Linked DNA regions of Coturnix japonica. The protein of the gene in region 1 interacts with the protein of each later gene in a pairwise test. Links are inferred from orthologs where the notes say so. Each region holds a gene or a part of one and is shown in the gene's direction. Other genes may lie near its edges.

Region 1 (6,012 bases):
ATAATATTATGCATTTGCTAAAAGCAGATTCTTTTGATTACAGGCCCTTGCCCAAAAGCAAAAGAAGGAAAGGGTTGTGCTTTTGCAGTAGATACATGTCATCATTCCTAATGGGAAGGAGGATGAGATGGGATGGGATCTTCAGGGTCCTTTGCACAGGTTCTTCATAGCAGCAGCTCTCCCCTCCCTTGCTTCCATTTTCCAGCCAAAGACTGGCTGATGGCCTGTCACATCCCAGCATGGAGATGCATTTCCAAACTGGAGAATACTGTGTATACGGGGAGAGGGAAGGGGGCGGGGAGATGCTATTGTCCAGTCCTGCCCTGTGGATTCTCCTCCTCAAGGAGGAGAGCAAGGTCAGCTGAACAATCTGGTATAGGGTGGGGTGGGGGTTTGGGGTACATGGCTTTAATTCCAACTAACACTGAGTTGTAACAGCTTAACGTGGAGAAATAGTCTGAAGCTTTGGGAAAAGCACTCAGCCGGTAAGTTCAATCCCTTCTTACAGAGCTGGAGTTACCATCTCTTGACAGGGAAGGGAACGCAGTCAACATTATTTCTGCCTTCACAGCCTTGTGAATGACAGCCTTATCCTTAGGACAATATAGCTCAGAAGTCAGTGCAGTTGCTTTGAAAAGTTCTGCCGTGAACAGCTGTGTCTTTACAATTCTGGTGTGTGTCTCCACATACATGTATGCACATCTGATGATATTCGCTAAATTGGATCCAAATATATTACTGTTTGAAGTTGTAACTTTCAACAAAGAAGTGACTTGCCAGAAGAACTTTATCCAACATTCAGGACAATAAGAAAATGCATAAGAAAAAGTGAAAGTATGCAGCTAACTTAGTTCCTAGGAGTTCTGGACCAAGCAGGCTTTGCCTGCTGATAAATCCACGGTGCCCTTGTCTCTGTTAGCTCAGTTTTCTGTCGGCTCTTAGAACTTAAAACTTTCATTTAAGGTCTGTGCCAGTGGTCCACACACTCAGGTATTCAGAAGTTCAGCTGCCTCCCCTGAGAGCTGTAGCAGCTGGACAGCACCCTGGCACTGCCATCTGACTGAAGGCCAACTACTTCTTAGGGGGATATTTTCCAGTTTCTCTTTGTAGGACCCCAGAACTTGAACAGAGGAGAATGAACCCCGGGGAGTTGTCATGGGAACTTCTGATTTACTTATTTATTGTGTTGTCTGAGATGAAATAGAAACAAGGAAAAAAATACAGAAGAGAATTGTATGCCTAAGTTTATTATCTTTGCAGAACACTGAAGCCAAACTATACCTTTAACTTCCTAAAGCAATAACAGTCACTTTGGGATTGATGTCAAGTTGGTAATTTTCACTGGAATAGACATTAATTGCTGTATTTATTATTCAAAAACCCTGATGACAGGAAAAAAGATGAAGAAATAATCCACATCTAAAAGATTAAGCAAATAAGAGAGAGAATGAGATTATTAGAAACATAAAGACATGGAAGCAGGAATAGCTGCTATAAATAATATCTAAACTTGTAATGCATGAATGCCCTGCATGTTCTGTTTTCTTCTTAATGGGGTTCAGTGATGATCTACTCTTTAACTTATAGTTACAGAAAAACTCATATCCATGTTGTCCTTTAAAAATAACTTCAGCTGTCATAGCGCATACACAGAAGGAAGTGGTTTTTGAACTTATCAGCATTGGTTCAGCCAGAGAATTAATGTGTTAGATTCAGAATAAAAGCAAAATTTCTTTTAGGAGAGCGTGATGGAGGGAGAATCCATCTAAACTGCTCTCAGTTATGTGCATCAGAGAGGGAAGCCTGGGTTCAAGAAAGGACGTGAGAGCTAGGCTACTGGAAAGGTCGTTTCCATGAGAAATGACCCAAATGTGCAATGCTGGGAAAAATAAAACAAAATGGGCTGTGAGGGGGGAGAGGGGGGAGCTCCTGGACTTGTGGAGAAGGGGCTGGCTCTGGGCGTGGTGATCGCATCACAGTGGGTTCCATTGTCCCATCTCATCACCATGCCCCCCCCATACAGAACTTGGAGCAGAACTTCAGGCTAAAAAGCCAAGCGGAGACCTGGCAGCTGTGCAGGGCAGTGAAGAGGGTAGAGTATCATCTCCAACAAGCAGGTGAGTACATGCTGGTATGTAATTTGGTACTGCCAAAACACCTATATATGCTTGATTTCATGCGGTCTCCCCCAACCCTGCTCCTCCAACCCATCTCCCCATCCTGTGGAAGGAATTTTTAGTTTGGGAATATGAATAAGGAAGGTGGGAAAATTTCTCTGAAGCCTGGGTTGACCTCTCCCCTGCAATACACAGGAGCTGATAGAGGTGCTGTCAAGTTTAATTGACCCCAGGACAACATCCTTCAATGCTGTATACATTATATACTGCTGTTTATCCTCAAAACTTGCCATATAAACACTTTAAACATAAGTGGCTTTAAATGCCTGCGCATGAAACACAGTGAAGGGTGGGTCTTGGCTTGTGATGCTGGCTGTTTTCTCATCAGGGTTTAGGGATCAGTTCCCCCTGTGATTCAGCTTCCCATCATGGGGATAATGACAGGGACATCAGCACCCTCTGAGGGAAAAGGACAGGTCTGTGTGAGGCAGGGAGCAACAAATTGCTCGCTGTGCTCTGAACACAATGTAAGGGGGAAAAATAAACGCGGAAATTGGCAAGCAGTTGCAAACAGTGGGAAATCCCTTTTAGCAGAGGAATGACATTATGCAAACACAAGTCTGATGTGAGATATACCAGATGGCAATGCGGAAGGCAGCTCTGAAAGTTAAGCAGAGACCTTATATCAATAAAATCAAGTGTTACGGCAAACAGACCCATATTGCAATTATTCCTTCAAGAAGAGATTTGGGGCTTTGAACAGTAGCAATATGTCTTTGAGCTTTCAAGCAAGTTTGGGAAGGCAAAGAAGGAGGTAGCTGTGGGTGGTGGGTCTCAGAAGTAACTTGGAGGAGCCCAGGGAGGCAGCAGCTGGTGAAGGTTGTGGGGCAAAACAGGACAAAGGGTTCAGTGTCCTGGCAGAGCTGGGCCATGGCTTTGACCCCCTGCCAAGTGCTTGGGACAGATACAGAGGCAAAATGACTGCCCACCAGTCATATGGCAGCACTGGATGCCATATAGGACAGGAGGGTGACTGGAAGGCTTTGGGGCAAGAAGGATAAAAACTGGCAGTCAGCCTACCATTTTTTTTTTATCAGAAAAAAACCCAACAGTTTTATGCTGTGGTAAAAAGAAACAAATACTTTTGTTTTAAAAAGCAGTTCAATCTCAATCTCATTTCATATGACTTTCTGCATTTTATTTATCTTCCATGACTGTAAAACTGATGCAAGGGGATGAAAAGAGAGTCCAGGTTTTTGTATCAAACTTTGTGGTGCCACCAAGGCTTTGCCTTCTCCACTAGTGCCTGTTTTCTCCTGTTCTTGCAGTCCTAATCAAGCTTCATCTCCAGCTTCTGTGTCATCTAGTCCTTGCCAGTGGGCAGTGGCCTCCTGCAGTGGCCTCCTGCAGAAGTCTTTTCACAATCTTTCTCTGTTTGCCAACAGATAACCATGTCTGCTTTTGACCTGACAAACCAGAGCACACGGGGTACAAGGCCCGAGATGGACTGTGTCTTCCCACGGATGAAACTGAGGGATGAGACATTTACATTTATTGATGGTAAATGGGTGAATGAGGTGCACTGCCAGCCAACATTTGCATCCCAGAGGAGACTCCTTAACAAGAAGACAGAGAACGAGTGGAGCATCTGGGAGGAGAACAGAGCCCTCTGGGAGGAAAACCAAGTCCTCCGTATCGAAAACAGGATGCTCTGGGAAGAAAATAAGGCTCTGCAATATCTCCAGACACAGAACAAAGGTGTCCAGCTTGTTTACAGTGACATCATCCAGCAAAGCCTCCAGAAAGATAAGCTGTCCTCGTTCTTCCCAGAGAGGCATTTAGGTTTTCAGGTCAGTCCAAGCAACAAGGCTCTCCAGCTGGTCAGAGAAAGAAGCAGCTTCTTAGAGTTTTTCCATAAGCAGAATAGAACAGTTCCCAGCATTTGGAAAGATCAACCAACCTTCATAGTCCAAGAAGAGAACAAAGGCGCCAGCTCAGTTCAGAAGGTCACTGAATGTACCACAGCTGCGGGAGAAGGTAGCCCTGGCACATCCTCCCAGGAGGAGCATGATGCCAAAGAGGAGAGCACCACGCCAACCCAGAATGACACCAAGATTGCACCAACCGCAGAGGATGATAATGAAATCCTTCAGGCTCTCCATGACTTATACCAGATTCTCCAGGTGTTCCTCAAGGAGAAATGTCTTGCTGATGACAGAGACAGCCTTCACGCTCTCCAAGATGAGAAAAAATTCTTCCAGGAAGAGTACAAGAAATTGAAGCTGCAGCTGAATAACGTGAAAAACACTGTGTCAGACATTACAACTCAACTGGAAATGCTGGAGAAAGAGCTCATCGCCATCACTTTCCCAATATATGAAGAAGAAGGGAAGAACATGGCAAACGAGTTTCAACTTGGAGAGATTTGAAGCCTGGTGCTAAACCTGCTAGTTCTGTTTCCTGGAAAGTGCCTCTCTTTGTTTCCAGGAACTTAATAAAATACAAGCAGAGCATGAACTAAAATTAAAGCTGGAGAGTATTGTGTTATTCTGAAACTTTCTTATATTACCTGGGCAGATTTCAACTTTTGGTAGCGTGGTGCCTGGAAAGCATGCTTTTCAGCCTTTTGGGGGGGATTTTCTGCTAATGGAGAGCCTGCATATTCAAAAAAGAGTTCATTCTTTTCACTCTTAATTTGAGGTACCTTAGGTTGGCCATACTTTTCAAAGAGATGATTGGCACTTCCTGAAAATAAGAAACTCAGATGGGAACTGAGTTTGGGTCCCTAGTTGTCCCCTTCTTATGGCTGGCCATGTTCAGTGGCTGAACTGTACCAGCTGCTATGAACCAGCCTTCTCTCTCACACAGAAAATGTGGTCTCTCACAGGATACAGAGTCATGAAAGACAGCGTGACATAGAAAAACAAACTGCACGCCCCATGAAGCAGCGTGCACTAGTGCAAACCTAGTAAAGTGTTTCCCCTAGGGAGAAATAGTGTAATGACATGGCATTGGAGTTTTCTATGAAAAACATTTTTTCATAATAGAAATATTATCTGAACTGTACAGATTTTCTTTCTGCAGTACATGTGGATAAATAGGTAGATAGATAGATAGATAGATAGATAGATAGATAGATAGATAGATAGATAGATAGATAGATAGGCAGACAGACATATGCCTAGACAAGTAGATGGATGAGAAATACCTTTCTCCACTACAATTGACCCCTATCATATTCTTGTTGTTTTCTTTTCCAAGTCCCACATTCCCACGTACTTTGCTTTCATTTCCTCTTGTTTAAAGTTCTCCAGAAAATAATCTGTCTTCTGCCTTGTAGTACAACAGGCCTATAAAGCAAACATTGCTCACCAGAACAGCATGACCCCTTCCGCCTCAGTAATCTGTAAACTGCCTTCATCATTTTGTACCTTAATTACTCTAAATTCTTCTCAAATGGCCTTGTTTTCATACACTTGAATAATCCTACTAATTTCAAATGAGATTATTATTTGCTGATAAATGGCACTTGTAGGTTGCAGCATGAATAGGAAGGACTTCTTTTTGTCTTACTTACACCTTGCTGCTAAAAGGAAAATTCCTGTAGACTTCAGTGGTCTTTTGGGACCCACTCCTCTCTGAGGCCATGAATTAAGCATGTCTTAGTCTATAAGCAATCACTTGCAGTTATGAATATAACAGTACTTTAGCTTGGAAGAGCACTGATGTCTTTAGGAGTAGCATGGGGTAAGGGAAAGGGCAGTGCCCTGATCCCATATAACAGAAGACCCTGGGAAGAGTTGTGAGCCTGAGCTGTTCATCTGCATTTTACTTGAAGACTTGAAAGCAAGACCCATCACACCAACTTGTTTCTGTTTGCTTTTTGGGGATTTTT
Region 2 (5,887 bases), on another chromosome or scaffold:
CGCATGACAGAAATCCAGAGAGACGGAGCTTGTCCCTGGAGAGCCCTAATTTGGTGGTTTTGTCCTGTTCCTAATGCTTTGAGGAACGGTTCCTATTTTGGTCTGAAATGCCCTGTATACTGTCAGCATCGTTTTTAATGTTTTTTCCCTTGCCCTCTCACTGACTGTTACATTGTGTGTCCTGGTTCCTCCAGTAAGAATAATTCTTGACATTCCTCAGTGTGCAGTGCTCGGATTCTTCCCGTTCAGCAGTGGGTTTAATTAGGACAGCTAAAGTTGTTGCTGCCCTTCTGCTGAATGCTGCTGGGACAGGCCCTGCTTCCTTCCCCTGCAGCTGCTGAATGTTCCCAGCCAGTGGCACAGATTTCACTGCCCAGTTCAGTGCTCGCAGTTCTTTGCTGGAGACTTCCTGCTTTACTGCATCAGCTAAACCTGCAACTGGGAAGGTTAATGGTTGCTGATATAGATAAAATCCACAGGCAGCTCTGGAGAAATGGGAATAGTTGGCTTTAGCTGTCGGTGCTGCTCACAAAATGCTCACGTAACACAGACAAGCAATGAATAGGGGGAAGGGTGGAGGATGGATCGGGACAGCTTGAACGTTAGGATCTCCTGTCTCATCACATTCCACTTTTGTCTTTTCTAAGGCTTGGATAAGATTGAATTCCTCCAGAGCCACGAGAATCAAGAGATTTATCAGAAGGCATTTGATCTGATTGAGCACTACTTTGGAGTAGAGGATGACTCTGCTTTAGCTCCCCAGGTAGATGAGAACCAGCAGCAATTCATCTTCCAGCAACCTGAAGCCCCTATGGAAGGCTTCCAGCTATAATACGCCCCAGGCAAAAAGACCACCACAAATTTGCCACAAAACAACTGGGAGAAGCTGCTGATCCCATTTCCTCCTTGCAAACGGAAGGCTGGACGCTCACTCCACCTGTTAGGAAACAATTCTTCCTTCAAACGAATAGACAGAGTGCTTTATCCTCATGAAGAAAATGGGATGTCTTGCACGTTTATTTTCTTTTTGCTGCTGCATACGTGTCTTTAAAGCAGGCATCTGGGTGGAGGAAGGACACTGAGGTAACTCGTTGCACCTCTTGGGTTTATTTTTCTTTGTGGTGATCTCTCCCAAATGTCACTTCTTACCTCGGGTACTTAATTGAGGTTTCAGCGTTGGGTTGGGTAAGAACAGAAATAGAAAAGCGAGTATTCAGACGAGAATAATTCTGGAAACCTGGGTTGATCTATTTAATTTTTTTGCACATGTTACTCTTATTAAAGACTCTAATTTGCCAAGAGCAGAGTTTAGCCCTGGCCTTTCTGCGCTCCCCATGCAGCGATCCTGGCAGAGCTGGGCTGGATTCACACTGCAGAACATGGACAAAGGGTGAGGGGCTGTGGGAGGATCCTCCCCGTGTCCTGATATTGTTGGTTGGTTTGAGCTGCTGCTGTTGACAAGGGTCGAAGCAGCCGGAGCTGGTGGCTGTGAGCAGGGCTGGGGCTGGGGGGGCTGTACTATGGGAGCTGCCCCATCCCCAGCTGTATTGGAGCCCCACAGCCCGGTTCTGGTGCTGTGTGAACACACTGGGCCTCATTTCCATGTTTCCGTCCCGCTCACAAACATTTTCCTTCATAAAGTCTCAGATCTGTGTATTTTATACGATCTATCGGCACCTGTTTGTCTAATCGGGCTCCAGAGGAAACCAACACCTGTGTAATGTAATGTGTGTAATAGCGCTGTGAGCCGTTACCTGCACACGAGGCCCGAGCTGCTCCCGTTATAGCGCTGTGTGTGGCCGCGCTCACGGTCGGTTCCTCGTACCGGGCCGGGATCGAACAAAGCGCTGAGCGGAGCCGGGCCGGGAGCGAGCGGCTGTGGAGACCGGGGGGGGCGGAAGTGGCTGCCGCGGGGCACGCCGGGAGTTGTAGTTCCCGCGGCTCTTCCCGCTCCTCGCCTCTGTCTCCCGGCGGCCCCCGCGGCTGCTCGGCGCTGATTGGTCGGCGGAGCGGGGCGGCGCCTGCGCGATGAGCGCACGCTGCGAGGCCCGGCCCGGAACCGCTTCCTTCAGTGCGGGACCGGCGGGGGGAGCGGGCGTTGCTGGGCGCTGCTGGGCGCTGCCCGCCGGTACAACGGGGCTCTGCCGCCTCAACCGGCACCGACCGCACCGGGAGGAGCGGCCGCTACGTCACAGCGCTGCCGGTGACGTCACGGGGGTACGGGCGTGACGTCACGGCGGGAGGAAGGGAGGTGTTGATGACGTCACGGGGGTCACGTGGGATGGCGGGAGCGGACGGGGGCTCCGGTCGGACCGGGGGGATCCGGGGATACCGGGCTGTATGGGGATACAGGGCTATAAGGGGATACCGGGATATGTGCGGGGATACCGGGCTGTGTGGGGCTGATACCGGGCTCCATGGGATCCGGTGCCGCGCGGCTCCTCGATGCCGTCCCCGTGGCGCAGCGCTGGGTCGCGGCGGGTCCCGGTTCCCGGTTCGGTCCCGGTTCGGTCCCGGTTCCCGTCCGCTCCCTCCATTCCCCGCTCCAGCTGCGGTTTCCGTTCCAGCGGTTCTCCCGGTGCTGAGCGCGGAGCGGTGCCGCCATGAAGAACCAGAGCGGAGACGGCAAAGCGGCCCCGCGACCCGCGGCCAAAACCGGCGGCGATCCGGGGGACGAGGCGGAACCGGCAGAGCCCAGCGCGGCCATGGAAGGTGCGGGCAGCGCCGCGTCCCGGTATTGGGTACGGGGCGGCCCGTTCTGTCCGGTCCGTTCTGTGCGACTCGTAGCGTTGATCCCAGCAGCACAGAGTCCCTGAGCGATCGGTTCCTTTAGTGCTGCTCTGTGACATTGAGACAGGAATGGGTGGTCAGCTCACAGCAGGTTCAATTAACCTTGCCCTGCGTTTTAGTAACTGTGGAACGTAGGAGATGCACAGCAATGCAGTGAGTTCAATAGCTGATGCTGTACAGCTCTGCTTGGGAGGAGTTGTGGATGTAGAGAAGTGCTGAGGGGCTGCTGGGATGGGATGGATTGTGCTGGGATGGGGATGGGATGGGATGGGGATGGGATGGGATGGGATGGGATGGGATGGGATGTGGGTCTGAGCCGCTACAGCTGCTCGTATATGTGAGCAAAGAGGCAAACTCAGCTTATAGATCTATTGTTGTGCAAAAAAGGCTCTGGGGATATTAGCAGGCTGCTGCTCCGAGGGAAGGCTCACACACAACCTGCTTTGGTTAGAGGATGGTGGGAGGGGGCAGTTCTTGCTCCTGACAGATGTCAGGGTCTCGGTCATGCTCTCGTGATCAAAAGAGGCTGTTAGGAATGCACCTCCATTGTCAGGGCAGCTGGCTGGAGGCACAGCCTGAACAAAGCAGTTTGTGTGCTGGGAGTTCAGCCCGCCCTGGTGCACTGAGGTGCTCGGGGAAACCTTCCCCTTGCTGTGTGTGCGTGGAGAGCAGAGAACAGGCGGCGTGGGGAAGCATCACGCCTTTGTGCTTGTATCTCCGACAGCTCCCCTTGCACAGGACGACACAAAGTCCTCCCGGGCTGCCGTGCAGGATGTCTCTGAGGAGCTGAGCAGGCAGCTTGAGGACATCTTGAACACGTACTGCGTGGATGCCAGCCAGGAGGGTCCGGGTGAGGACGGTGGGCAGAGTGAGCCCGTGGAGCCAGAGGAAGTGGAGAAGTGCCTCAGTGAGTCCCCGAGGAACGGAGATCAGGAGTCAGGCAGCCCCGAGATGAATGGTGAGAAGGAAGGAACGAAGGGGACCGAAGAGTTTCGACCTGGAGACGAGTGTGGAGAGCGGGATCAGAAGAAGGCTCAGGAAAAGAAGAAAGCCAAGGGCCTCGGTAAGGGGTTTCCTGCTGTGGTTGTGCTGCCAGCCTGAGAACTTTGGTGCAGATGTGGATTTTATACTGCACTAAGTGCTGTTAGAGAAATGAATACCTTAGGTACGTGTTTGGAAATAGTACAGCATCTTATTCTTGTGGTATGGGAGGAAACGTTGAGTGTTGCAAAGACACTCATCAGTCCTGAGTGCTGCTGCAGCCTCTGAATTGTGCAGGTTTCCCCTCTGCTGCACACAGCGTTGTCTAGTTGGCCCCTTGGTGGTTCCCTACTCTGATAACCACGTTTCTCCTCAGCTGCTTCAATTGTTCACTGCTGTATGTGGTGAAATCTGGGGGACAAACCCCCAAATAGGCACTGGAGATGGGAACTCTGGGCCAGGGTGGTCACAGGTGTGAGACCTGGTTTCTGTCTCCTGTCCTTGCCTTTATAAGCCACAACTCCATGTACGTGACGTCACCTTTCTGTTTAATTCTGTCTCACTGCAGGCAAAGAAATCACTTTGTTGATGCAGACCCTGAACACCCTGAGCACGCCAGAGGAGAAACTGGCAGCACTGTGCAAGAAATACGCTGAGCTGGTGAGTCCTCGTTTCTTCATTCCAGGCTCTGGGGCAGTGGGAGGACGCTGCTGCAGTGAGCACTGGGACAGCACTCAGAGCTCTGCTCTGTTTAAGCATTGAGTGCTTGGAGGTCCTGAAGGAATGTGCACTTCTCACCAATTCCAGTAGGATGTTAATTCAGGAAGGAGAAAGGCTGTGTGTGGGAGACCTTGGGTTCTGTATTCATCTGACTGTGCTTTTTATTATAAAGCTCCTGTCCTTTCAGAGTAGACAGAACACCTATTTGATCCCTGTGTACCCTTATATGGGCACAGCATTGCCCTGGTCTGTTTTGCTGCATCTCTGCCCTCTGCTCTCCTACCCTAGCTGGAAGAACACCGAAACTCCCAGAAACAGATGAAGATTTTGCAGAAGAAGCAGACACAGTTGGTGCAAGAGAAGGACCACCTGCAGAGTGAGCACAGCAAGGCCATCCTGGCCCGCAGCAAGCTGGAGAGCCTGTGCCGTGAGCTCCAGAGACACAACCGTACCCTCAAGGCGAGTGTCTCCTGGGATTGCTGCAGGAGCTGCTTCCTCCCAAACCCTTAGGTCACCTGCTGCAGGGCTGATTTTAAGGAGTGGTCGCCCGCAGTCTGATGTCCAGTGCAGGATTTCAGTTGTGCTGTTAATCTGTTATCTTGCAAGGGACAGCAGGGGAGGGAGCTGACCCTTGTGATTTTATTTTGAAGGAAGTGATCATTTGTGGGCTTGCTCAGCTCTTGGAGTGAAGGAGCTGCCATGCAATGGCCTGCAGAGCCTTCCTGATTGATACCAGCAGCAGTGGGAAGTTGGGTGGGTTCAGATCATCACGGCCCAGGGAGGTTTGTTCATCTGCCTGATGTGATGCCACGTTGCTGTCTGCCCTTCTAATACAGGAGGAGGGTGTCCAGCGAGCACGAGAGGAAGAGGAGAAACGGAAGGAGGTGACATCCCACTTCCAGGTGACACTGAATGACATCCAGCTGCAGATGGAGCAGCACAACGAGAGGAACTCCAAGCTGCGCCAGGAGAACATGGAGCTGGCAGAGCGGCTCAAGAAGCTCATTGAGCAGTACGAGCTGCGGGAGGAGGTGAGTCGGGCCTGGCATGGCCTGCTGTGGTGCACCCATTCTGCCCTGTGGAGAATGTTTCCAGGGCAGAAACTGCTGCTGGAGGGGAGAGAGAGCCCTTGGGATTTGAGGTCATTCCTTGGGATCTGTGCCACGTGGGTAGCAGGGCCCTGACCTCGCATGTCAGTGACTGGTGGCATTTCCTTTGGCAGCACATTGATAAGGTGTTCAAACACAAGGACCTGCAGCAGCAGCTCGTGGATGCCAAGCTCCAGCAGGCACAGGAAATGCTGAAGGAGGCAGAGGAGAGGCATCAACGGGAAAAGGACTTTGTAAGTCTTAGTGATTCTCTGCTGGTTATAAGCACTGAGCTGTTTGCCCTGTTT
Region 3 (5,903 bases), on another chromosome or scaffold:
AACAAGGTTATGGTCATCTGGGACCACTCATTTACAAAGATGTTTCCAGCTCTCTGGGAAGAGCTCACAGGTTACCCTCCCCTCTGGAACACCACGCAGCCAGCATCCATCCTGGGGCAGCCCCATCCGTACATACCAACAGCGACAGCATCTGCACCATCGTGATTTGGGCATTGCACAGATATGCCAGGAAATAGATGAAAGAGGAGACTCCCAACCAGTAACCAAAGCAGGTGCCAATGGCTGTGCCCATCAGTGTGCCTTCCCTCTGTGGAGACAGCAGCAGGACAGAGAGAACTCAGAGCAAGGGCCTGCCAGCACCTGAGTTTCACTGCAGAGCACCCAGAGCCTTTCATACATGTATACAAACAGCTGGCTTAACAGCAGGCAGGTTGCCCCACGACCTACACCCCATCTCTCCCAGCTACAGAGCATTGGGACTTTCTGATGCAACTTTCCTCCCCTCTCCAAAACCAAAAGGATCTTCCTCAGATCAAATCTGCTTTTCAGCTCTTGTGATACAGAAGAGGTTTCCTCTCCCTTTCCAGTGTCATTATAGCAATCCCAAACCCGGTCAAAGCACAAATGAATCACTGAGACTCGCCATACAATGATAGTGTCCGAGGTCTTCATCCCATGCAACAGGATGGCCACCAGCGTGAAGACCAGCATGAGGGGTCCGTAAAGCTCACCTGCAATCTTCTACATGTAAAGAGAGAGATGAGGCTTAGTTAGTGCTCCTGTCTTCCAGGCTCTCCACCCTGAGAGACATAACGAGCATCTTGGAGACTTTTATCACCCGAGGAGCATCTGCAAGGCCACTGCTGACAGAAGCCACACAGAACAGACTGTGATGAGTCAGAGTGGTGTTCAACAGGATGCAGAAATGGGCAAAGTGAGGTCTAGAGTTCTACAACTGTACCAGCGTTAAGGGTAGCAGGAAGGTAAAGGCAGCGCTGGCACAGGCTGTGCAGGGCAGCGGTCACAGCAGTGAGCTGGCTGGAGTTGAAGAAGCATCCGGACAATGATCTCAGCTATATGGTCTGATTTATGGGTGGTGCTGTATGGAGCCAGGTGAGCCTTATGAGTCCCTTCCAACTCAGGATGTTCTATGATTACAATTCTATGAGAATGGGGTTTGGAACAACCATAGGAAAGGGTTTACTGATACTTTGAGGGAGGTGAACATCTAACAGACTTGGATCCTTAATAACAGGCTAATTACATCTGAGGGGTCTCTGTGGAACAGTCACTCAGGCTGTGGGGTCTGGTTCAGTGAGAGAGAACTCACCTGTGGGAAACTGATCATCTTGACGGGCACCATGGACTCCAGCAACCTGCATTACGGCACAGCGGGGAACGACATCAGGACAGTCATTAAGAAGCAACAGATCCCGTGCACCCGCTGCCCTGCCCACCTGGTGCGCACTTGGACGGGCTCCACGTCGAAGTATGGCCGCAGGATGTCGATGTTGGCGTAGAGGCTGAACGCTTTGGACGCCTGTCGCTTCCCCACCTGCCACATCTGCGGACAGAACGGTACGTGCAGCGGCGGGGCCGGGGCCGGCGGGGCTGTTGGCGGCTCGTGAGCCCACTCACCTGGTCGGCCACCTGCCGGCCCAGCTGCCCCTGCAGCCCCTTCATGCCCAGGAACTCGCCGTCCTCTTCCCCGCCGGCCCCCGCCTCGCCCTCCGCCTCCTCGTCCTCCTCCTCCTTCATGCGCTGGTGCATCTCCCCCATGTCCTCGAAGCTGGAGCCCGACGTGTCGTCCATGTTCTCCATGTCGATGACGGCCGAGCCGCCGCCCTGCTCCGATGCACGGATCGTCAGCGCCCGCTCGGGCCCCTCTGTCCCCCCCCCCGCGGGCCGGCCCCACCTGCACGTTGTCCTCAAAGCCGCCCCACTCGGCGGTGCCGCTCCTGCCGCCCGCCGCGGCCATAGCGCCGGTAACGGGGGACGGCAACGCGGATGTGACGGTCCGGCCGCTCCGTGTCTCGCGAGAGCCGTCAGTTCCGCATGGCCGCCTTACGTGCGGCGGGGCGGGGCGGCGGCGCGTCCTTCCGTCGGCGATGGCGGCCCGGCGCGGCACGGACGAGATGCGGGAGCGCGTGGTGCTGGGCGAGTTCGGCGTCCGCAACGTGCGTGGGGCGGCGGGACGCGGGGCGGCTCCCGCATCACCCCCCGCTGCCTCACGGGCTGCGCCCCCCGCAGGTCCACACCACTGACTTCCCAGGCAACTACCCCGGGTACGACGACGCGTGGGACCAGCGGCGCTTCGAGGAGGTGAGTGGGAGCTGATGGAGATGATGGAGCTGATGGAGCTGCTGCTGCGGGGCCCCTTGTTCGGCTCCGTCGTGACGCGGCGCGGTTCCCGAGCAGGGGTTCCGCGTGGACGTGGTGCGGGAGGAGGACGGCGTGCTCGAGTTCGACATGGTGGGCATCGACGCGGCCATCGCCAACGCGTTCCGCCGCATCCTGCTCGCTGAGGTACCGCGGGGCTGGGAGACATGACGAGTGGATGGTCCCCGTGCGGTGCCCTGCTTGGCGGCTTATCGCCTCGCTCTGTCGTCCCCCCGAGGTGCCGACCATGGCTGTGGAAAAGGTGTTTGTGTACAACAACACGTCCATCGTGCAGGACGAGATCCTGGCGCACCGACTGGGCCTTATCCCCATCCGGGCCGACCCGCGGCTCTTTGAGTACAGGAATCAAGGTGAGGGGCTCGGGTCGAACAGCGGTGGGGAGGGTGGAGCCCATAACCAGGAGCTGGGGTCACACCGTAGGATCATGAAGGCCATCAGGTCCAACGATCCCACAACATACAGGGACTCCTACATCTGACCAGGTGCTCAGAGTCCTGCCCAGCCTGGCCTTGTAAGTCTGCAAGGACAGGGCATCAGCCGCATCTCTGGGCAGCCTGTTCCAGTGCCTCACCACCCTCATTTTCACCACTCTCACTCAGTAATAGACTTTTTCTTTATCTCTAAAGTAAATCTACCCTCTTTAAGCCTCAAACCGTTTCCCCTTCTCCTATCACAGCAGACCCTGCTGTAGAGTCTGTCCCTTTCTTTCTTGCATGCTCTTCCTAGGTGCAGAAAGGCCGCTTCCAGGTCTCCCTGCAGCTTTCTCTTCTCTAGGCTGAGCAGCCCCAGCTCTCAACCCATCCTCGTAGGAGAGATGTTCCATCACTGGGTCATTCATGTGTCCCTCCCCTGGATACACTTCAACAAAGCAGAATTCACTTCCATAAAGATACTGTTTTGCCATTTCCAGGAGATGAAGAGGGGACGGAAATTGATACTCTGCAGTTCCAGCTGAAAATAAAATGCAGCCGGAATCCTCAGGCAGCCAAGGAATCGTCTGACCCAAACGAGCTGTATTTCAATCACAAAGGTGAGAGCTCCTTGTGCCTGCCCTAAAAGTAGGTGCAGCTTTCTGCTTTTTCTCTTGTTCATTTTCTTCTTTCTCTCTCTTGGTGTTTTGCCTTGTGAGCAGAGACAGCTCATTTCCTCACAGTATACATAGCTTGCTTGTGCCATCTCCTATTCAGGTCAGCAACCTGTTTTCTGAGGCAGCAGCTGGCTGATGCTCGTGGTTTCTTTTGGCAGTGTACAGTAAGCACATGACATGGGTTCCCTTGGGGAATCAGACAGACCTCTTTCCGGATGCTGACTTCCGACCTGTCCACGACGACATCCTTATAGCACTGTTGAGACCTGGGCAGGAAATAGATGTGCTCATGCACTGCGTCAAGGGTGTAGGTGAGTGCTGGGTCTGAGCTGGGGAGTGGGTGTGCTGGTGCTTGGACTCGAGCACAGCTGTGTGATGGGAAACACTGGAGAACTAGCTTGACCCCAAGGCCTGTCCTCATCCTTAATTCTGAACTCTTTGTGCAGGTAAAGATCATGCCAAGTTTTCTCCTGTGGCCACAGCTAGTTATCGACTGCTTCCTGACATCACTCTCCTGCAGCCTATCGAGGATGAGGCAGCCGAGACGTTACAGAAGTGCTTTTCCCCTGGAGTCATTGAGATCCAGAACGTCAAGGGTACTTTCTTTCCAGCTGTAAAGTGCCTCGTTCCTAACAAGTCTTAGCAGTGACTGAATAGAGACAGTAGAGATTGTAGTCAAACCTTGTTGGGAAAATAACACATTGCGATGTTGTCTTGCTGATCAACAACAGTTGGTGCTGTTTTGAGCCTGGTTGTAGTGGCTGAGTGGCTGTCACACACAAATGTTTTTAGCAGTGAACTGAGATCTCCCTGAAATGCTTATGTGTTGCATGCCTGTCTGTAGAGCCCTGTGCTACTGTTAGGTGTCTGGGTAGCGAGCTTGCTCTTTGTAACAGCTGAGCACGGGGAGGACTTGTGTCCTGCCCAGGAGCACATACAGGCTTTGTGTTTGGCTTAGAACTGTTCGAGGAAATGAATTCTGCCAAGCTGGAGTTTCATGTTAGGGATGTGCTAATTATATGTGGCTTTGCTGCCTCTGCTGCTTGAGGGGTAAGTACTTTTTGTGACCCCAAGGTGCTCATCTGCTGCCGGTGCCCACCTTGTTTTGTCTTCTCCTTTTAGGAAAGAAGGTGGCAAGAGTAGCCAACGCACGGTTGGACACGTTCAGCAGGGAAGTCTTCCGACACGAGGGTCTGAAAAACCTGGTGCGCCTGGCCAGGGTGCGAAATCATTACATCTGTAAGTAGCCTGTTTTGTGCAGAGCAGAGTGCCCAGCCCGATTCTGCTTTGTACAAACAAGCAGGGGCTGGCCAGTGTGCATACCTTGGTCTCAGTCTTTCCCTTCTACTTGGCATCGTTATTCTTCCTATGTTTGTATTCCTCTGGGGAGCTACTGAGATAGTGGTTTGGTGCAGCTTTGGGGTAGGATGTGTTTGTGCTTCTTGCTGGCTTATTTCTTTCAGCTGCAAAGGTCTGGCTTGCTGGAAGTGCAGCATAAGGGAAGATGAGGAGCAAACGCTGGAGCCAGCCGCAGGCTGAAGCAGCGCAATGGCCGTGCTGACTTCTGTCTCTGTGCAGTTTCAGTGGAGTCGACAGGTATCTTGCCTCCAGACGTGCTGGTGACTGAAGCCATCAAGATACTGATGGGAAAGTGTCAGCGTTTCCTGAATGAACTGGATGCTGTGCCAATGGAGTGAGTGAGCTGTACAACCAAGAACCCTGTGCTGCTGTTTTGGGCTTCTTGCTCTGGCCGGCAGGAGTGGTTCTTCTGCCCTAGGCATGAATTTGGAGATGGATTTTTTTAAGAGCCCTGGGACCATCTCTTTGTTTCGTGTGTGATGAGCCTCAGTGAGGAGATGCACTGAAATAAAAGCTTGCTTTTACCTCTGCCTGCTTCTGTGCAGTTAACAACTGTGAGACTGTACCATACAAAAATAAAGTGGCAGCAGGGCTGAAGCCAAGTAATACTTGTTTTAGAATGCAGGCAGTGTGTGAAGAGGACCAGTAAGGCACTGTAGTAAAGCTCTTAGCAGCAGGCCCATGAGAACTGAAGTCACTGTCAGTTTATGTCTGTTTTGAAGATGTCTCAGTGTGGTAGCTGGGTTGTCTTATAGTACTGGGCTTCTTTGTGTAGTAGGGATGGTGGGGTTTAAATACGTGCTCTAGAATCCACAGGGGGGATTTGAACCTGGGCCTCCGTGTTGCAAGCGGCACTTCTACCACTGTGCCACCGGGGCATTCATTGGCTGCACTTTCTTTCTGGCAGCTGGAGCGAGGAAGGCTGAATACAAACAAAGTCATGACACCGTGGGTATGAAACTGGAATAGCTTTACTGACATTCAGAGGTGTAACACAACTGGTTCAGAGACAGCTTTAAACATTCCTACAAAAAAAAAAAAGGCTCTAAAAACCATTTAAAAAAACCCCTTGTGTCTAGCATGAAGTCACAGAATG
Region 4 (5,765 bases), on another chromosome or scaffold:
GGGAGGAGAACCGCCAGCTCTCCGCGGCTCCTCTGCCGTCCTCACTTAGTGCTGTCTCACCCCAAATGTGCTGTTTCCTATGTGAGCTCCGTCCACTTGGGCTGGGGGGGATCCAGCCATGTCCCGCAGGGGTCCAGCTGTGGCTGGCAGTGCTGACCCCATTGTGGGCACGGCTCGCCCCTCGCCGCTAGCAGACCCGCCGTGTCCATGTCCAACCGTTGTCACTTTGGTTTCTCTGTAAGTCACCCCCCCCTTATTTATGTGGAACTCTGTTTCAAGGAATTTTTTGCACTACATGGGACCGGGGAAGGGATACAAGCAATACAAAGCCAATGTGTACAATAAAGGTGTTTTCTTGAATACGGGATCCTGCCTTTTGCATCCTTCTTTTACACTTGCCTGGCGGAATCAGGCAGCACTGCTGGGAAGACAAAAGCAAAGGGAGGGGGTTCTGCTGGAGCTCATTGGGACCAACCCAGCTCGAGGCATGGGGGCTTTGGAGGCAGAGTGATTTACACCTCCCTCAGCCTTTAAATCCCAGCTTGGGCTCCCCAGGAGCCTCCAGCACTGCTGACAGCTTTCCTTGCCGTGGAAATGAAAACCAGACTGGGGGGGAAACATCCTCCTTCCCTCCAGCTGTCACAGGGGCTGGGAGGAGCGGAGAGGGGTCGGATCTGCCTTCATGAGCTGCTGCCACTCATTGCTGGCTGGGGGGAGTGCCAGACCCCTTTCATAGGAGCAGGGGGTGAAAAGGGCAGCGTGGAGCTGCATGGCATGGGGTAACCGCATCTGTGGGGCCCGAGGGGGGGACTTTCCCATGCACAGCCCTGCAGCAGAGCCCCATGCTGTCACACTGGCTTGGCTGCTGCCCGGCCGTGTCCTCTTTCTGTCTGCTCCCCGGCCTCTTGCTTCTCTCTCGGGCTTCTATAAATAACTGTAAAAGTCTTTCCGAGGTCTGGAGGCCGGCAAACAACGCCAGAGGAACAGCACGTTTCTGGTCACGGTGCTGAGCGTGTTAGCTACGGCTCTTAGCAGAAATCAGACCTTTCCTGACCAAATCCCAGTTGTTACCATTGGCTGTGAGCTTTGGTGGCTGCCAGGAGGGGCCAGGACTTGGCTATGCAGGGTTTACAGAAGTGCCCGGCCATAGGATGTATGGGGCTCCTACAGGGGGCAAGGGGTGTCCCATCGCTTTACCTGGCCACAAAGGGTTAATGAGTTATAAAAGAAGTGGGATAAGAGGCTGATTTGGAAGTGGAAGGTGCAGGAGCCTTTGGCAGATGTTCTGTTCTTAGCAGGACCCTCCCCAGCTGTGGGATTGGTGCTATGGGATGTGCTGCTCTTGCACCCACCAGCACAAGGTGGATACAGACAGAGTCCAACAACCCCAACGTGTCCCTATAGCGTGGTCCAAACATCCCCGCTAGCAAAACATCCTCTCCCGGTCTTAAAACCCCACGTCAAAGAATCCATCATAATCTGGGAGGTGTTCCAGCACGGAATGAACCTTCCCATTAAAAACACACATGCTGTTTTGGGCTTAAATTACCTTCCTTCTCTCAGCATCAGCCTTTGCTGCTGCTCCGCCGGGTTGTCTGTGACCCTGCAGGGACAAAAGCTGCTCCCTGCAAACCCCTCACTGCCAGAGGGGGGTTCTTCTTCACCCACCGAGGCAGCACTATCCCTATTAACTCCTTCCATACCAATGCAAGCGAACAGCCGCAACTCAAGACTCTCCTTGCAGAACTCTCAGATGTGAATCCTCCACGTGCTTTGTGTTTGCTTCTGAGTTTCCCCATTTGCTGTGACCATCCAGCCTGGCTGTTTCAATCAACAGGACGGGAGCATTCATTCTACATCCACCTTTCACCTCATCATTAGCAACCCCATTTCGTCACCATCTCTTTCCGCATCCCCTCCAGTGCCCATTGACTCCCAGTAGGACAAATACACCCAAGGCATTTCTATAGCCCTATCCCATGCAGTGAGCTGGGCTCAGCCCTGGGACCCAGCCCCTCCCCACACGTCCCAGCTCGACGCGGGGAGGAGGAGAAGCAGCCGGTGAGAGCCCTGGGCCAAAAGTCTGTTTGCTGGCGGCTCACACCCACAAGTCACTGCCGACAGACGGAAGCGGGGCATGGCTGCGTGACACACGTTTTGCTTTTGCTCCCAGTGCTCCCAGTACTCCTGGGTTGCAGGAATGGGGAACATCGCTTGCGTCCCGCAGGCACCTGGGGGGTTCCGAAATTCCTTCAGGAGGAAACCTTCATTAAAGAAAGAGTGAGTAATGAGTGCTTTTATTGGGAATGGTGCTGAGATCTGCTTGGGAATCCCAAAGAGCAATGGGAGGTTTGTGGGGTTTTAAGCTGCGTGCTACGGCAGCTGCAGGAGCTTGGGGTGGGATCATAGTGCTGTGCCGGAGGGTTGAAGCCTCACTGCACTGAGGAACAGAGTGATTTATTTCATTGGAGTTGGGAAAGATCACCTCCCCACTATGGGGAGCAGAGCTGAGTGCTCAGCATTCCTTTGTTTTGTGTTTTATTTGTGCTGCCATAACCCTAACCATAACCATAGCCTTAACGGTAACCCTGACCCTCATCCTAACCATAACCTTAATGGTAACCATAACCCTAACCATAACATTACCAGTAACCCTAACCCTAACCATAATCTTACCAGTAACAAAAATCCTAATCCTAACCATAACTTTACCAGTAACCCTAACCCTAAACCTAACCATAACCTTACCAGTAACCCTAACCCTAAACCTAACCATAACCTTACCAGTACCAATAACCCTAATCCTAACCATAATCTTACCAGTAACCCTAATCCTAACCATAACCCTAATGGAAACCCTAACCCCAGCCATAATCCCAATGGTAACCTTAACTAAACCTAACCCTAAGCCTCACCCTAACCCAGTGTACCCACCCGTCCCTAACCCTTTAGAAGGAAAACCCCAAACCTGGCACTCAGCCTGACCCCTGCTGTGCCTTTATGGGAAGCAAACAGCCCTGAAACCCCCCCCAGGGCAGTGCTACACTCCTACTGCAGCCCCAAATGGGGCTCCTTGTGTGCTGTACCAGGGGGGGGCCTGCAGGGGGTGGAAGGGAAGAGAGGAAAACCACAAAGACCCCATAACACCCAGCTCTGTGTATGTGGGTGTGGGTGTGCATGTGTGTGCACATACAGCTCTGCCCTGAGGGTCTCAGGGCTGGGCTGGAGGTGGCACATTGCAATAGGACATCACTGCCCTGTGCTGTTCCCAGGCTCAGCTGAGAACATTTGGTGATGTGAAGAAATGGAAAATAAAACAAAGAAACACCAACAGGTGCAGCATGAAACCTGCTGTAATCATCCCAGACAGTTATCAGCCCAGTGCTGAGCTGGGATGATTAGAAAGCCCAGAGCAAACTGCTCACAGAGCCTTCCAAGTTCCCTGTTTCAGAGCAGAACTCAGCTCAAATCTTTGCCATTTCTCCCTCTGGCCCCATAGGCAAAATGGCAAGAAAAAGCTGCCCAGCTTCTTTGGCATAGACGGAGATGGGGAGAGGGATACAACGACGGACAAAATCCTGCAGTACATCCCTGGGAAGGCAAGTACCAGCACATCCTGCCCCACAGGCTACATTCCCACCCATCCCAGGTCCAAAGGTGCACCAGGCTCTGCAGCAGGGCAGCTCAGGGCTGAGCTCTATGTTTGGGGTCCCTGTGGAGGGGATAAGGACACGCTGTATCTCTATGTGTGAGATTCAGGGGGAGCACAGTGCGGTGGGAACATCATCATCACTCTCAGCTCTTTGTTTCTGGGTAGGAAGGGAAAATGCAAGCACTCAAAGGTAGGATGATTCATTCCCACGCTGGAATGAGACGGAGCAGGCAGCGTATTAGCAATGAGAACTGGGAAGATAATCAGGAAGGGCAGGTCTGCCCCGGGCACGTAGCAGCCCCGTGGCCATATGGCTGAATCCCAGCACTGCTTGGGGAACACAGCACTGTGTTTGCCCAGCACCTCGGGGTGGTCCAGGGCTGTGGATGGGGCAGCACTGAGTGCCATGCTATTGTATGGCAGTCGGGTCATGTGAATGTGGAGGAAGGGGGAAACTGAGGTGTAGTGCTATGCTTGCTACAAGGGACATCCTGCCTGGAACTCAGCAGCACCCATAGTGGGACATCTCCATCTGGGAGGTGATGGAGTCAGCCCAGCTGTGTGCACAGTGCATCCCCCAATCCCTGCTTCCACCCCAACCAGGGATAGCATCCTTGTTTAGCTCCCACACCCCACCCTTCCCTTTGTTTCCCACCCTACCCAACCACAGCAAATCCTAAGGGGAAGGATGTGCCCGGAGCACAGCTCTGGCTTTGGGTGCTGTGTGAGCAGCAGTTCTCAGAGCCTCAGGGCTGAGCCCTTCCTGCAGGGTGATTCAGTGGGGGATGTGGGGTACGGGCAGGTTAATCAGCAACCGGCTCTACCTGCAGGATGAGCAGCGGGGATGTGGGGAGGCCAAGGAGGTGTTGGGGTTGGCACTGCTTGCCAAGCCCCAAGAGAAAGCTGCTTGCCTGGGATCTGTGCTGCCTGCAGCACAAACGGGATAGAAAAACACAGAGAGCCCCACCTGGTAAAAAATTGACCTGAGCTGTCCCACTTCTTCCTGCCTGACCACAATACCTGATGGGTGCTGATAAGACCGCCGGCGCTTGGAAGCTCTTCTCAATTATATCTTTCTCAAGAGAGAAAAATCCCATTCCCTCCCTTTGCCCACTGGCTATGCAGGGTCAGAACCTCTCCCCTTCCCCCTCCGGCCCTGACCCTGGGCTGCAGCTGGAAACACAGAGCTGGCTCCGGGCTTCTCCAAGGGCAAATAGTGTGTGAGGGGAAAAAAAACTGAGTCACCGGGCCCTGTGGGTGCTGAGGTTTGAGCATGGGAAGCACAGAAACAGTCATTAATTGCCTCCGGTGAGAGCATCACCAGGCAGCCTGCAGCTCCCCGTGGTTCGGGTGTATGTGCATAGCAATGCATGGAGCTGGGAGGGAGACTACAGCAGCACTTAGCTTAGCACCTGGAGGAGATTTCAGAGCTCTTTGTGGGTGCAGAAGGAGCTCAGCTCTGCAGGTATGAGGGTCCCGTGAGCTGCTGAGCACCAGGGATGGCTGGGGTTGGTGCCATTCCACAGGGGTGACTCATGGGGGCCCACAGGGGTGAACTGCTGGCTCTGCATTCATCACGGGGTGCAGCAGCTGTCTCTTTGCTGTCCCCCGGCTCCCTGCTGCGTGCCTGGAAATGCTGCTTCAACATGTCACCATCACAACCCTCCTGCCTCGACATGGGAGGAAATATCCCATGTAAATGGGTAAAAAAAGGTCCCTCTGGGTGGTTTGCAATCTGGTTCAGGGTTAGCTCGTGGCTCCCATCCTCTCTTCTGCTTGGCAATGAGTATCTCTGAGCCTGTGTGCAATACCCCATGGGCTGTGGGCAGTGGAGTGCAATAGGGGTGTGGGTTTGTGCTGTTGCACAAGGAAGGAATTTCCATTGAACCAGAGCTCAGGAAACAAGGGAAACCCCTGTCCTGGAAGGCAAACTGCATTGTCTTAGCCTTGCTTGGTCCTTGTCCCAGTCAAATGGGTCAGGATGGCAGGAGGTTGGAGTTGGGAAACCCTAAATATGCTTCTGCCCATTCCCTTTCCTACCCCAGTTCCAGCTCCCTCAGTGCACACATCCCCATCTGAGCCCAAAGCTGATTCCAGCACAGAGACCCCAAAT
Region 5 (5,807 bases), on another chromosome or scaffold:
GATATCTCCACTCCCCATGCACCGTATGATCCCAGTCCTCTGGTTTCTCATCACTGGTATCCATAATATACTCAGGTTCATCCCAATGCTTTAAAGACACAGAAAGACTAAAATAAATCAAAACTAGTGCATAGCTCAATTTATAAAATGAATTCAGCAGGAATGAAATAGTTCAATAATAGAAAATAACTACAGATTCCGAGTGCTGAGTTACCTCAGGTTTGATGTCATTTGGATCAGCAATGTGGGCTCGATCATCCCAGTCGCTGGGTTTCTTCACTGCTGGATCATTAATTTTCTTTGGTGGCAAGAAATCCAAATCATCCTCTAAGTTGCCCAAAGCAGCCACTTCATTATCAATTTTCACTTCATAAGTCTGATCTGGCCTTATGATTAAAGTATACAGATGTGTATATCCATCGACCTGGGTTTTAGAGAAGGCAAATAAAATATTTTTAAAGCCTTAAGCACAGTTTATAGGAGCTGCCTTACATCAGAATCACGGCATATGTTTGCAGTAGTGTTGTTTTTTCTCCTTAATATCCCTCTGACTCGGTATCCTGAAGTTTACCTTTGAAATCTCTGTTTACCTTACATCTGATTGGTTTCTTGATTGGGTGAAGTTTATTCTTGTAATTTAAAATAACGTGGACTTTCTTTGTCTCAGATCCACAAATATCTGGCCCTACAAAGAGATCACATGCTTTGTATCCTTAATTGCGTTGCAGAAAAATGCAGGTTGCTATCTATAGTATAAATGAAAGGATTATGTAATAATTCTTAAACCACATTAGATACTAAACTACAAACCTTGACATACAAGTGAACAAATTTCACTATACATACAAATATATTTAAGGGCAGATAACAAACAGCCTATGCTACATCATTTACATCAGGTAAAGGCCTGAAATATTTAAATGCCCTTCAAATCAGCTGAGAATTTTTGGATAAACATGGATTGTTAATACATACTTTCACATGTCTCAACTATAGAAGAAATAACTGCTTACAGCCACAACATTCTTACTGAAGCAACTTTCTCCTCTATGCTTTTAATCCTTTCCACAAACATCCTTCAGGAGCTGCACAACAGCAATGGCAACATTGTGCTGACAGACAAGTAACTCACCAAACATGATGTAGTAAGGGGAAGCTCCACTCAGATTCTTCTGATCCAAGTCTGAGGAAAAAATCTTTATATATCCCCCACCACAGTCAATCTTCTGTTCATGTTTCACAGTATACTGAATGACCAGAGTCTTCCCTTTGTTACTAAATGGTTTAAATCTTGAGGAGATGGCATAAAACTTGGAGTTTTCCCTTGTTTGTAGACCTATAAAGGCAATATTCAAATTTACAGAATCACAGAATGACCTGGGTTGGAAGGGACTTCAAGGATCATGTAGTTCCAACCCCCCTGCCTAGCAGGGCCACCAAACATACACCTTTACTAGATCAGGTTGCCCAGGGCCCCGTCCAACCTGGTCTTGGACACCTCCAAGGACGGGGCATCCACAGCCTCCCTGGGCAGCCTGTTCCAGGGCCTAACCACTCTCCTAGTGAAGAACTTCCCCCTAACATCCAACCTAAATCTTCCCTCTTTTAACTTAAAAACATTTCCCCTAGTCCTGCTATTATCAGCCCTTTCCAAGAGTTTACTCCCCTCCTGGGAGTAAGTTCCCTTCAGGTATTGAAAGGCTGCAATGAGGTCACCCCGCAACCTTCTCTTCTCCAGGCTGAACAAACCCAACTCCCTCAGCCTGTCCTCATAGGGGAGGTGCTCCAGCCCCCTGATCATCTTCGTGGCCCTCCTCTGGACCCTTTCCAAAATCTCCATGTCTTTCTTGTACTGCGGGCTCCACAGTTTCTGAGGAGACTCAGACTGAGACGCCAACCCAAGATGCTGGTGTGCAGGTCTCTGGCTGTACTGAGTGCCAGAGCCTGGCCCTTGCAGTGCTGGGTGAGGGAGGCATTGATTGTGTTCGCTGCGGCCAGGTTAAAATTTACACTTCCATTCTCTTAGAAAAACGACCTTTTTCCCTCCCCATACATAGCAGCTCCTTCCAGTGCCCCCACGTACCTCTGTCTCTCACAGGATCCCCGTAGAACTTCCCAGCAGAGAGATGGAAAGTGCCGAGGTCCGGCCTGGACTCAGAGCTCACCCAGCGCTGCCGCCAACCGCCTGCCCCACCGGGCCGGTACCGAGAGCAAAGGAGGAGCGTTATGTGGGGCACAGGAAGGGCCTCCCTCCCTCAGAGCATGCCCACCACCCTTATTAACGACCACCCCATCACACCCTCTCCCTCCCTTCCTTTCCCACAACCTCCATCCAGAAACTGCTCCTGGAAATACACCACGGCCCGGGCAGCGCCCAGCACAGCCCCAAGGAGCAGCACAGCCCCAAGGAGCAGCAGGCCGCGCGCTGCAGGCCCGGCCGCCATCACGCTCACACAGTAACGGCTTCGCACCTCCTGCCCTCAACACCTCGCGCTTGATCCAGTTCTATACTAAGCTCTGATTGGCTGCTCCTTGCCCGTCTTTTATAACTGACGTTCCGATTGGCTTAGAGTCCCCAGGAGGCGTGCGGATGTCGGGGAGTCGCTGTCTCTCGGATACGGCCCGGCCTCGTTGTGCTCCGTGCGGAGATGGCGCTGCGCGTAGCGGCGGGCGGGGAGCGGGTGAGGCCTGCGCCGCGTCCGGTGTTTCGGGACGAGGCTGCGGGTCGGGGCGGCCCTCAGAGCCCAGACGGGCCGCAGGGGCGCCCCTCACTTCGCTTTTTCTCCCGGCAGGGACGCGGCGCTGCTCCGCTCTGGGCAACCGCCGCCAGCGGACACTGCGGCCTGCCCCGCTCCTGCCTTGAGATCCGAGGCGTCGGCGCGGAGCTGGACGGGCCGGGCCGAGCCGCGCTGGGCCGCAGCAGGTTCCTGAAGGTGCGGGGCGAAGCGCACGGGCAGCAGCGGGACACGGCGGAGCGCGGAGCTGAAGCCACGAGCGCTGCGTTCAGCGCTGCTCACATGAGATCGAATTCAGCTCTGAGAAAAGTGGAGCAGCTGCAAAACAAAATCCTCAACAGGAAAAAACAGCTGGAACTGCAGAGCGCTGAGATGGGCCCGGAGCCTTGGGATGAAGATTCATCGTCTGCTTCCAGTCTTAAACACCGCGAGAGAGGCAAGAAATACTTGAAGGGCTCTGCTGCCGTTGGTAGGAATGTGGCTGCCAGCCAGGGCTGCTCTGAGGAAGAGGGAAGCACCCAAAGCCCCGAAAGGAACTTTAAGGTTACACAACAGCTCGGGTTGGGTGGTGATGGGAAGCAAATGGGAGAATGTATGGAGAGCTCTATGGGATTCTCCAGTGGAAGGGAGAACCAAAGGTGTGTTACAGCTGATCCCAGGTGGAGTGGAAAGGTAAATACAGACTGCCCTGCATTGTGTATTTCTGTTTATACTTTGATGGGAGTATTTTAGATTGGCATGTCACTCTATTTACTAACACCAGAAAACTATTTTTAAGTTGTTTATAGCGTGTTCACAATTAGCATGATTTCACACTATCAAATTACTGGGATTCACCCATTACAGTCTGTTTTTAGTGATCTACATGCAGTAATGAGGTAATGCAGAAATCTCTTTTTCATGTTCTTTTAAAGAGTCCAGTTTCACCAGGATCGCCTCCTCCGTCTCCTAAGGAAATTCTGCTGACAGAAGTATCTAAAGTAGCTTCTCTTCACAGCAAAGACTCAGAGGAAAACGTTTTAGATGGAAGGAATTTGTTAAGACCTTCCTCAGCCAGCAGAAACCAGTCAGCACGGTGTGATACGAGGTCTCAATCACTGACTTCTTCCACGAAAGACAATACTGTAAAAATGATTTTGCCCAGAAGAGGCAACGTTAAGCAAAATCAAGCGTCGAGTGGAAGTGATGGAAGTGAAATAAAATCATTAGATGAGTTATTTTCAAAAGCAGATGATGTGGAAGATTCAAGCAGCATAAGCTCAAATGGTAAGCATTTCCTAGCATTATCTTGATAGACTTGGCACAAATTATACAAATTATTTACTAATAAACGTGGGCAAATACTTCCTTTGAAAATATTCATTAGACTATTTTTACATAAGCTTTAGCTTTAGAAAAGAAATTATATCTTGTTGTATATGTATCTTTGTTGTTTGCACATTTGTATTTTTCTTGGCTTTTCATTGAATGATTCAGATTAAGGATGCTGGCTGACAGTTGTGACATCGTAACTCCAACATTTAGAGCTGTATTGATGTATGAGTGGGACAATATACTGTTGGGTTTGAGCTTAAAAGCAGGGCATTGAGGGTCTGTGGAGCCGTAGGCAGGTCCTCCTGCAGAGGAGGAGACTTTGGAAAGAACTGCTGCTGAATTAAAGATTTCAGAAGTGATTGAGTACTGTTCCTTCTTAATATTGGGCCTTTTTTCTTCTTTTTGTCACTTCATAGAAGTAGTACCGTAACTTTCCTATGAATTCTCATGGCAATTTGTCATTCAATTGCAGACTTCAGACAGAATATCCTGAGCCTGGATGATTTGGCATCAAACATTAGTGAGACAGCAGAATTAAAGCAGCAAGTAAGTAGAAATTTCATGTCTTTCCATTCTGCCTTCATTTGATGAAGGGTGCAGGTTCTAAAATAAACACATCTGTTCTGCTAATAAACTCTTGGAGATGGGCATGTTTCACTGGTTGCAAAGATTTATGGAGCCATATTTACATTATGTATTGCTGACTCTCTTAACATACAGCTCTTTTATTTTGCAGGGGACGCACGTTCAAATCAGTCCAGAAATAAATAGAAAGACAAAAAAAGACACATTCCCAGTGGAAAAGGATCCAACTTTTCCTAAAATAAGTGCAGAAATTGCTGTACCTGATAGTTCTGAGAGGGCTACTGAAAACGTGACTGAAGCTGAAATCCCTGAGCAATTAGAAGTTTCTTCATCTTTTTCTGGGCATAGGCAGGATTATCCTGATGGTGATGACAGAACTGTTAATTCAGAATATTCTGAAGACTTTGAACAATCTCCATCTACAACAGACAAGGAAACTGTATCTAAAATGTCAGTGGAACATTCTGAGAGTTCCATGTATTCTGGAAAAGACCCATCTTCTTCAGCATCATCCCCTTTACTTGCCAGAGAAAGGCACAAACGGGTACACAGAGTAGATGTAAAAGAAACTGCAGCTCAGACAGTGGATTTTCCATTCACCTACTGCTGGTCAAAGAGTAAGTTAATGTTTAAATCAGGACACCGCTCTCTTCAGTCTTGAGATTTGTTCATATTTTACAAGCTGACCTGATCAGCTTCCCCCAGCTGATGTGCCAATAAAAGCTTTCTGAACCACAGCATTTTGATAGCTGTAAGTAAGCTGTGCCCTTCATTTCTGAGGGGTAACTTGTTTTCTAATCCTCTTTGAAAGGAGAAGCTAAGAAAGATGCTTCTTGCCATAAACAAGGAGAAAACAGGACTTTGCTGAAAACAGTGGCTTCCTTCAACTATGTGAACCTTTATTTGTGCTGTGTCCGAGGTTAGAAAATACAGCTTCTGCAATGGCAAGTTGTGCGAACATGAGAATAAGTAAAGGGAGGAGGGCACAGGCTTACATCAACATTAGTTTGTCTGATTGAATTCCCTGTTGGGTTTAAAACTGTTCTAAGGAAGCCCATGACCTGAAAGCTGAATTCTAGCACTGAATCATTGCCTTCCAAACCCAGTAATTCTTGTCTTCTACACAGCAAACAGCTCTGCAGTGCTTGGTCTGCCTGTTGGGAACAGCTACGT

Evidence for each region.
Region 2: the proteins of CBY2 (region 1) and TXLNA interact in binary tests that used the Homo sapiens proteins (3 or more experiments, as listed by UniProt). The two-hybrid records come from large-scale screens. The link is inferred for Coturnix japonica from reciprocal best matches to the Homo sapiens genes CBY2 and TXLNA.
Region 3: the proteins of CBY2 (region 1) and POLR1C interact in binary tests that used the Homo sapiens proteins (3 or more experiments, as listed by UniProt). The two-hybrid records come from large-scale screens. The link is inferred for Coturnix japonica from reciprocal best matches to the Homo sapiens genes CBY2 and POLR1C.
Region 4: the proteins of CBY2 (region 1) and PLEKHN1 interact in binary tests that used the Homo sapiens proteins (3 or more experiments, as listed by UniProt). The two-hybrid records come from large-scale screens. The link is inferred for Coturnix japonica from reciprocal best matches to the Homo sapiens genes CBY2 and PLEKHN1.
Region 5: the proteins of CBY2 (region 1) and C28H19orf44 interact in binary tests that used the Homo sapiens proteins (3 or more experiments, as listed by UniProt). The two-hybrid records come from large-scale screens. The link is inferred for Coturnix japonica from reciprocal best matches to the Homo sapiens genes CBY2 and C19orf44.

The regions. Positions count from the first base shown.
Region 1 is NC_029516.1:150,251,072-150,257,083, forward strand, and holds CBY2 (spermatid-associated protein), read left to right. Parts: upstream 1-2,017; 5' UTR 2,018-2,117; intron 2,118-3,562; 5' UTR 3,563-3,568; coding exon 3,569-4,546; 3' UTR 4,547-4,645; downstream 4,646-6,012.
Region 2 is NC_029538.1:4,543,780-4,549,666, reverse strand, and holds the start of TXLNA (alpha-taxilin), read left to right. Parts: upstream 1-2,032; 5' UTR 2,033-2,203; exon of another isoform or gene 2,204-2,217; intron 2,218-2,567; 5' UTR 2,568-2,603; coding exon 2,604-2,712; intron 2,713-3,514; coding exon 3,515-3,853; intron 3,854-4,339; coding exon 4,340-4,431; intron 4,432-4,779; coding exon 4,780-4,950; intron 4,951-5,327; coding exon 5,328-5,522; intron 5,523-5,713; coding exon 5,714-5,833; intron 5,834-5,887. Other genes in the region: KPNA6 (importin subunit alpha-7), read left to right, coding at 648-832. UniProt on the Homo sapiens protein: May be involved in intracellular vesicle traffic and potentially in calcium-dependent exocytosis in neuroendocrine cells.
Region 3 is NC_029518.1:27,797,707-27,803,609, reverse strand, and holds POLR1C (DNA-directed RNA polymerases I and III subunit RPAC1), read left to right. Parts: upstream 1-2,026; 5' UTR 2,027-2,069; coding exon 2,070-2,138; intron 2,139-2,211; coding exon 2,212-2,283; intron 2,284-2,379; coding exon 2,380-2,487; intron 2,488-2,578; coding exon 2,579-2,711; intron 2,712-3,271; coding exon 3,272-3,391; intron 3,392-3,606; coding exon 3,607-3,759; intron 3,760-3,894; coding exon 3,895-4,044; intron 4,045-4,570; coding exon 4,571-4,687; intron 4,688-4,911; coding exon of another isoform or gene 4,912-4,946; exon of another isoform or gene 4,947-5,026; coding exon 5,027-5,145; 3' UTR 5,146-5,335; downstream 5,336-5,903. Other genes in the region: protein YIPF3, read right to left, coding at 137-268, 610-702, 1,292-1,337, 1,419-1,525, 1,600-1,806, 1,877-1,939. UniProt on the Homo sapiens protein: DNA-dependent RNA polymerase catalyzes the transcription of DNA into RNA using the four ribonucleoside triphosphates as substrates.
Region 4 is NC_029536.1:2,436,527-2,442,291, reverse strand, and holds the start of PLEKHN1 (pleckstrin homology domain-containing family N member 1), read left to right. Parts: upstream 1-1,944; 5' UTR 1,945-2,200; coding exon 2,201-2,280; intron 2,281-3,499; coding exon 3,500-3,599; intron 3,600-5,765. UniProt on the Homo sapiens protein: Controls the stability of the leptin mRNA harboring an AU-rich element (ARE) in its 3' UTR, in cooperation with the RNA stabilizer ELAVL1.
Region 5 is NC_029543.1:3,385,787-3,391,593, reverse strand, and holds the start of C28H19orf44 (uncharacterized protein C19orf44 homolog), read left to right. Parts: upstream 1-2,498; 5' UTR 2,499-2,648; coding exon 2,649-3,407; intron 3,408-3,649; coding exon 3,650-4,001; intron 4,002-4,521; coding exon 4,522-4,595; intron 4,596-4,785; coding exon 4,786-5,251; intron 5,252-5,761; coding exon 5,762-5,807.